Linked DNA regions of Rattus norvegicus. The protein of the gene in region 1 interacts with the protein of each later gene in a pairwise test. Links are inferred from orthologs where the notes say so. Each region holds a gene or a part of one and is shown on either strand. Other genes may lie near its edges.

Region 1 (3,908 bases):
CTCTGACAGCTCCTGGCTCCCCCCTCACTGTCCTGTCCACCCTCCCTGCTTGTACTGTCCCAAATAATAGACAGACTTTAATGATGACCTCCGCAGCTTCTGCATCGATCTTACTTCCTCAGTACCTGCTCTCCCCGCCCATCCCCTTCCCTCCAGAGTCGTCAACACCTGACCCTCCCTGAGATTACATGCGTGCAGTGCATCTCCATGCTCAACGGTGATGCTTCTCCTGACCCTCATAAACCCTGAGGGGATGAAGAGCAGGCCGGGGTTATCAGTCCTCATTGTAAAGATGAAGATTCAGAGAAGCCGAGGAATTTGGCCGTGCTAACACAGCGGCAAAGTGCCGGAGCCAGGACTGCATCTCCAGACCCCAAACCCTGAGTTCTTCCTATCAGCTCTTGGGACAGCGCCCTTTCCCCGGATTACAGTGTCACGTACAAAACTGTTCCACACACTCCAGAATGAGCATCTGTTCTTTGTCTTCCAGGTTGTCAAGGTGGGAGGCCTGGAGGAAGGGGAATAGGAAGGGGTAAGGCCGCCACCATCCCCCCCCACCCCCGCCGTCAGTCACCCTCCCCTGCCCAAGGGCACGCCCCCTCCCTGTCCTCACCTCCTCTCGAAGATGGTCGTTCTCTTCTTCCAGCAGTTTCAGCTTCTGCTTCAGGGCTTCCAGCTGTGGGCAGTGGTGCAGCGTCTCAGCCTTAGGGGGCCTGGCAAGGGGGCAATGAGAGTCAGACTGTAAGGGGTGGAGGATCCCAGTCCCCCAAGGCTTCCCCAGACGAGGCAATGCCAGCAGGCTAACTGCCCATGCCCGTTTACAAACGGACAACCGAGGCACAAAGGCAGAACACGCACGGCTTGGGGGCACCATAGGGATGGTCGTGCTGCTGATCTTGGTCCCTCTGTCCTTCTCGTTCCTCCTCTTCTCCCTCTTCCTCTTCCTCATCCTCTTCATCCTCCTCATCGTCATCGGAGTCCGAGTAGAGCTGAAGGAGATCATCTCGCAGGTTCACCTGCTTCCGGAGATGTAAAATCTAGGGCAGGAGAAAGGGGCCGCAGAAAGGTGAGCACGGAGGGGCAGAACAGGTGCTGGTTGGGGGAGGGAACAAGCCGAACCCTCCTCTTGGTCCTTAGGAGCCCAGATACCTCCTCTCTGGCTGAGCCCAGCATGGTTTCCAGCTTGTTATTCTCCTCCATCAGAACACTATTCTGTTTCACCAGGGACTGGCCGATGCGAGCGGCTGTGTTCAGGTCCCGTTCTTTCTGCAAAAGGAGAGCCAACCATTCCATACTTCTCCCAAACAGGAGGGCGAGAGCAGGGGCTAAGCCACAAGAAGAAAGTTGCCCCAGCACCCAGCCGTCCAAGTACTAAACCAAAGACTATTAACCAACTCTGGGGTCTGACTCAGTTTCTCATCCTGAGGAAAAAGATCAGCCCAGATTTGGTCCTCTGAAATCTATGTGCCTTTCAGGAAAGGGGCCCTCAAGTTGGCACCCAGGCAAGCAGAAAACAGACAAAAGCCCTAAGTCCTGTAGGGAAGAGCTAAAATGAGGGCTGGCCTGAGTGAAGAAGGCAAGGCGGTACCCACCTCTTCCAGCAAATACAACATCACTTTGATATCATCTTCGGTGATCTTCTTCCTGGGCAGTGGATTAGGACACAGCGCTGCAGGAGGAAAGGCCTGAGTGGATCAGGGAAAGGAGCCGAGGCTGCCCACAGCCCCCTACATCCCTCACAACAAAAGTGGTGAGACTGCGTTCTATCTGGCCCTAACACCCTCTTCACAGCTCCGGATCTCAGCACTCCTGCCTTCTCAGGAGGGGCCTGGGTGCTGTAAAGGCAAAACCATCCTCCAGGCTCAGGAACCAGACTTTCAAGACCCCTGGGTCTCTGGTCCCTCGAGATAAGAAGTCAGGGGAAATACTGGATTCATCATGCCTGACTCAGTCGGCAGCTTAGCCAGCTCACTGGAGACTCCTCGATCGTAACAGATGCACGTAACCCATCCTAAACCTGTTGCATGTGACAGGAGGGCCAAGTAGACTTACTTCTTCAGCACCAGAAGCGGGCACCTCAGCCTAAAATTGCCCCGCCCAGAAGAGGAGGGACAGAAGGCCAGTGCCCCGCCCACTCCTCCCGCTTCAATCCTGCTTCAGGAAAGCGCGACCCAGACCCCTCCGGCCAAGCAGTGTCAAAGGCTCCCGCCCCGCCCCCCGCTCTACCCACCCACGCTGGCTGGTCCTGCGGGCTAGCGCAGGCTCAAAGCGCACCCGGCAGCGCACCCGCAACCCCCGCCCCTCTGCTGGCACTGCGGTAGACGGGGAGGGGGCATTGAGAGTGCGCAGATCTGCCACAGCAACAGGCGCGAAGAGGGGGGCGGGGAGAGCAAGACAGCCCTAGATCTGACGCACCTACAATAATCGGGGAACCTGAGACAGAGGAAAAGATGGGGAAAGGGAAACCAAACAGGCACGGCGGACAGTGGTCTCGCAGGGGTGGTGGAAAGGTGGGACTGAGAGCCACAAGGGGGCGGGGCGCCTGAGTCGGTGGTTATTAGAGATGCCCTAATAACGCCCAGTGTGGGATCCCCGAGACTCAGTTTACCTTCCTGCAGCTCTCGAATAAACGCCGCGCGCTCAGGGCCGGACACGCCGGGCCTTCGGCCGATGTACGCGGCTGGCGTCTTCCAGATTCCCTCAGCCCTTCCAGTGCCCAGGCCAGTAGCCCGGGGACCGTAAGGCCCCTGGAATATGTAGCGGGTCCATGGTGCGTCCGAGTCGCCACGGATCCTGGACCTACAAAAGCTTCCTCCTGTCTTGGTTCGGGATCCTGATTTCTGTCCGGACCCGGTTCCCTGCGCCGGAGCAGGTTTGGGCTCTGCCGAGGGCTCCGGAGCGGGATCCGCTGCAGGCTGGGTCGTGGGGGTGCCTGTTGCTGGGTCCCCCGACCCCGTCCCGTCCCCGGCACTGCTCTGCACCTGCTCCTTCGGGCGCATCTTGACTCTGCAGTCCGCTGTCGCAGCCGAGCCTTTATAACCTGTGCTCGGAGCGGGCGCCACTGGGCTGTACCACGTGTGGCGCTAGGGGTGACCGTTGATCAATTAGTGGTGCTGAGGACTCGGGATCCTACGAGAAAGCAGCCAGTGGTGACGGAATAGGACGTAAATGAATGAAGAAGAAAGAAAGAGATGAGAGAGTGCCCAGTTTTTTCCATGGGATCGAGTTCACGATGATGGGTTTCTCTTCCCTTCCATCTTCTGAGAATGGTTCTGTCCAAAGCCGCGGCTTCCCTGGACTTGAGTAGAGGGACCCGTAGCTTCTGCCTAGAAACAACCCCCCCCTCCCAGCCCTCCCGCGCGCGCTCCCGTCACCCCAGCTTCCAGGGGCTTTCTCTGTTGTTCTACACAACATTGAATACATTCCGAGGTGACCTGAGAATCGAGGCAGTACGCCTGTGTCTTCCCAGGTGGATTAAGCGAGAAATCCAAACTCCGGTATGGCTTTCAACGTGTTGCGTGTCATCCACAGGTCCTCGAGCTCACACTCCCGCACTCGCCCCTAGACGCCTTCCATCTTACTGCGTTCACCACTCGTTCTTTTATCTCCAACCCTAATTCGCAAGGCCTATATATAGTCCAAGCATCTTCGGAGGGGATCCTACTTAAATGTTTCTCTGTGACGACTCTTCCAGACCTCCGTGTACACACACACACACACACACACACACACACACACACACACACCAAAACACCCGTTATCCCGGGGTCTGAAAGGATCAATGTCGGTCTTCACGACTTTACCTATGCTCTTCAGTTCATGGACGGTGGGCTCCCCAGAGAAATAGATGCTTTGGAAGCTTGCTCTCGGTCCTGAATGAACTGGGAGAGGGGGGTGGGAGCTAGGGA
Region 2 (3,908 bases), about 74 Mb from region 1:
GCTACTTAAGTGAGTTCTTAAAGGAAGAAGGGAGGGGAGGGGGAAGCGAGGGAGGGAGGGAGGGAGGAAGAAAAGAAAAAGAAAGAAGAAAGCTGTTTTATTTTTGAATTAGCCGCACTTGAGTGTTGGTATGTGCCTGTGCTAGCAGAGGCCAGAAGAGGGCGTCAGATCCCCTGAGGTTGGAGTTACAGGCAGTTGCTAGACAACCAACGTAGGTGCTGGGAATGGAATTGGCCCCTCATCCTTAGCATTACTTACTCCGAGCTACATCTCTAGTCCCCACAAACAAGGTCCACACAGAAGACAGACAGGGGACTGTTAGCAGAGGTGGACAGAGACCTGAGTGAAGATGATCGTTTGTACTGGAACTTCCTAGGGCTGGCTCGCGTGTTATGTGCCAAGTTGTCAAGGGGCTTGTGTGTTAAGTGCCAAGTGGTTAACTTGGCTCCTACATACATGCACAGATATAAGAGGATAAGCAAGAAAATGATGTCACTGCAAAGCGTTCATTCTTTTTTCTTTTTTTCTTTTTGCAGTGTTAAGGATCTAATAATTGTATTCCAATGAGTTACATCCCCAATCCTGTTGTGTTTTTGTCTTTTTGATAAATGCTCACACTGTTGCTCTTGAATTCTCCTGCCTCAGTCCCATCCCTGTCCCCCCACTCCTCCCCCGAGTGCTAGGATTCCAGGCTTGAGCCCCGATTCTCTCTCTCTCTTTTTAAAGATTTATTTATTTTTATCTGAGTACACCGTAGCTATCAGACACACAAGAAGAGGACATTGTATCCCATGTGGTTGCTGGGAATTGAACTCAGAACCTCTGGAAGAGCAGTCAGTGCTCTTAACCACTGAGCCATCTCTCCAGCCCAGCAGTCAGTGCTCTTAACTGCTGAACCATCTCTCCTGCCCCGAGCCCCGATTCTCGATCAACAAACAGTTGGCTTTTACTGACACGCTTCCTTCCTCTCGGGTTAATGTTACCACTCCCGAAGCAGTCTTGGAAGGCAGTGTCAGCTTGGCCAGGAGCCTCCTGCTAGCTGCCGCGCGTCTGGAGGCGTGGCCTATGGCTCCGCCCCTCGCTGCGTGCGCACGTCCTGCCGTCCTGCCGTCTTGCCGCCCTGCGGTCCTCGCGCTCGCCGGCTCGGCTGCGACGGTGCGGAGGGAGTCGCTGACGCGGAGACTGACTGACCTACAGAGCGGCTGAGGGTGAGTGGCCCGCTCGGTCCCCAGTCCTCCCCTCCCAGGTCCTAACCTGGCGGAGGCCTTCTTCGAAAGTTCTGCTCGGCTTTCTCTCGGTGACTCGCCCTCAGCCTGAGGGGACATCGGGCGGGGGCTGGCCGGAAGCGGGCTGAAGCGGGCGAGCGAGCAGGAGACTAGGGGTCGGAGAGGGGGCACCGAGCGGGCCTTGAGCGTCAGGTGAGCCCGAAACTGCGGACATCGCGCTCTAGAAGACCTTTGAGCCCCATCCCCTTGAGTCCTCTGGTGTTCCCGTAGGGCACAGCTCCTCCCAGCGTCACGAATACTCTTGAGGAGGTGACTCCGGGGTCGAAGTTAGTGCAGCAGTCCAGCCTACCTGAAGTCCCAGAGGAGCCTGGGGCGTGGTGGCCTTCTTGGTCCGGCCTTCAGTGGCTCCCCTCGGTGCCAAGAACCCTTAGAATCCCTTTAGGGACTTGATGAGTGAGTGACCTGTGGTGCGGAGTGCAAGACTCAGCCGTAGATGTAGCCGGTTGGTCTGGACCAGGAGGTCACCTATCACCTCCAAAGCACAGGTCTCCAGGTGACTTAATTGCCCTGTAAAAACTGCCGGGACCGCCTTGTACACTGTTTGCACAAGGGCTGTCTGAGCCATGCCATTTAAATCGGTTCTGAAGGACCAGTTGTTGTGGCCTGTGGCTGTTCATCCTTACTGTGTTCTAGTGCTGGCGCCACAAACTCAACCAGAGGGAGTGTTGCCGAGAGACATAAACACCATGAAATGTCCCATTGAGGGAGAGCGTTTGCTCTTCAATCCTTTCTAAGTCCTTGAGTGTTTCACCACCTATAAAATGAGATTATTGAGAGACTCGTGAAGTAAATCCACTAATATCCCACGGGCAAGATAACGGCACAGACGATCGCAGTTCTGCTTGGGCATCCTGTGATTTTTCAGAAGTGGATTAGAGATAAGAAATGGTTATGTTGTTCAAGTGGTCATACTAGCCTTAAACAGTCCAGCCGTATAGGAGATTTTGTGCTTTCCTGCTCCTGGTATGGTGCTAATGTTTATAGTAGTTATTATAAACATCATATAATATGTGACATTATTATTAATAAAGATTTTTTTTTTGGTGGTGGTGGAGTTTGAACATGATGAGCATGTATTTTACTAGTGAACCCTCAACACTACCCTGTGTTTTCTGTTTTGAGAAGGAAATCTTGCTATGTAGTCTACACTGACTGAATTTGAGATCCTCCTGCCTCAGTCTTCTAACTGCTAGGATTATGAACTCAGCCTAAATCTTTTTTTTTTACCCCTTTGAGTCAGGATCTCTCAAATTATTTAGTTCTGTCCTCGAATTGGCTCTATAGATAAGCCTCAACTCACAGAGACCCTATCGCCTCTGCCTCTTCAGTGCTGGGATTAAGGTGTGTACATCATGCCGGGAGGTAACTGTATGTTTTGTTTACAGCGTTTATCAATGTTTTTAGTTTCTTTGAAGAGTAAAAAGTATTTATTCAGGTTTTTTTTTTTCCCCAGAAACATCACAAGACATGATATGTTTGCTAGGAGTTCCCAGTTCAGTAGGATATTTATAAATTCACTTGATAAAATTGTAAACATTTTCTGATAAAGTGCCCGGGCCAAAACACTGACTAGAGTTGCAGGTCCGTGAGCCTTGGAAAGTTGCATGCTCACTGAGTGACCTGATCCCACTGGGGATCTGAAGAGGAAATCCTGAGGGTCCTCTGGTTTGCCTTGAATTTCTTTTTTTCTTTGCTTAGGGCAGTCAGTTGAGATGTTGAGATATAGCGAATACGAGTGCTCTGCAATTGATAAAGCCACTGAGCTGCAGAGGTCAAATGTTAATTGTCTTTAACTTAGAAGTTTTCAAACTTGCAGACTCTCATAGTTGGGCCTACCTTGATTTTTAAAAATTTTCCCTTAGTAGCTGATCCTAAAGGACTTTGCATCAGTATTGCACCAAAAACTGGAGCATCACCTTCCCAGAAGGCAGATCTTTTAGAAACTGGAATTGCATAATTCAGAGCAAAATTCGTAGTTTCGGTTGTCACTCCTTGGAGAAACGAAACAAACTAAAACCCCAGATATGCTTCTTTGAATCTTACTGGCCATAGTTAAGTAAAAAGTTAAATGTATTTCTTTTTTTGAGGCTTGGGGAACAACCAGTGGGAATTTCTCTGGTATGAGAGATGATGATCTTCTGTTTTAATCCCAGCATTTGGAGTTGTTCGAGGACATCCTTAGCTGCTTATGGGCATTGGTGTTTTTCCTGCGTTTGTGTCTGTGTGAGAGTGCCTGATCCCCTGGAACTGGAGTTATAGACAGTTATGAGCAGTGCTCTTAACTGCTAAGCCATTTCTCCAACCCCCAATTATCAAATCTTAGCAATAGAGATTCTCTTGCATGGCAAAATTTGTAGCCAGGCATTGGTTTTCAGACTTTTTGTAGTATCTGAGCTGCAGTTGGGGTGCAAGATAAATCTACTTGAAAATCCAGGAGCAGCCAGACAGTGGTGGCGCATGCCTTTCATTCCATCGCTTAGGGGCAGAGGCAGGCAGATCTCTGAGTTCAAGGCTAGCCTGGACTACAGAAAGAGTTCCAAGACATCCAGGACTGCACAGAGAAACCTTGTCTTGAAACAGTAACAACAAAATTGTGTGTGTGCATGATGTTTTATGTGTGCT

What was found.
Region 2: the proteins of Hap1 (region 1) and Hmox2 interact in a two-hybrid assay, tested with the Homo sapiens proteins (2 studies listed by BioGRID and IntAct). The link is inferred for Rattus norvegicus from reciprocal best matches to the Homo sapiens genes HAP1 and HMOX2.

The regions. Positions count from the first base shown.
Region 1 is NC_086028.1:85,783,483-85,787,390, forward strand, and holds the start of Hap1 (huntingtin-associated protein 1), read right to left. Parts: upstream 3,022-3,908; 5' UTR 3,000-3,021; coding exon 2,609-2,999; intron 1,670-2,608; coding exon 1,593-1,669; intron 1,267-1,592; coding exon 1,150-1,266; intron 1,038-1,149; coding exon 859-1,037; intron 714-858; coding exon 614-713; intron 509-613; coding exon 442-508; intron 1-441. UniProt on the Homo sapiens protein: Originally identified as neuronal protein that specifically associates with HTT/huntingtin and the binding is enhanced by an expanded polyglutamine repeat within HTT possibly affecting HAP1 interaction properties.
Region 2 is NC_086028.1:11,334,806-11,338,713, reverse strand, and holds the start of Hmox2 (heme oxygenase 2), read left to right. Parts: upstream 1-1,101; 5' UTR 1,102-1,208; exon of another isoform or gene 1,209-1,418; intron 1,419-3,908.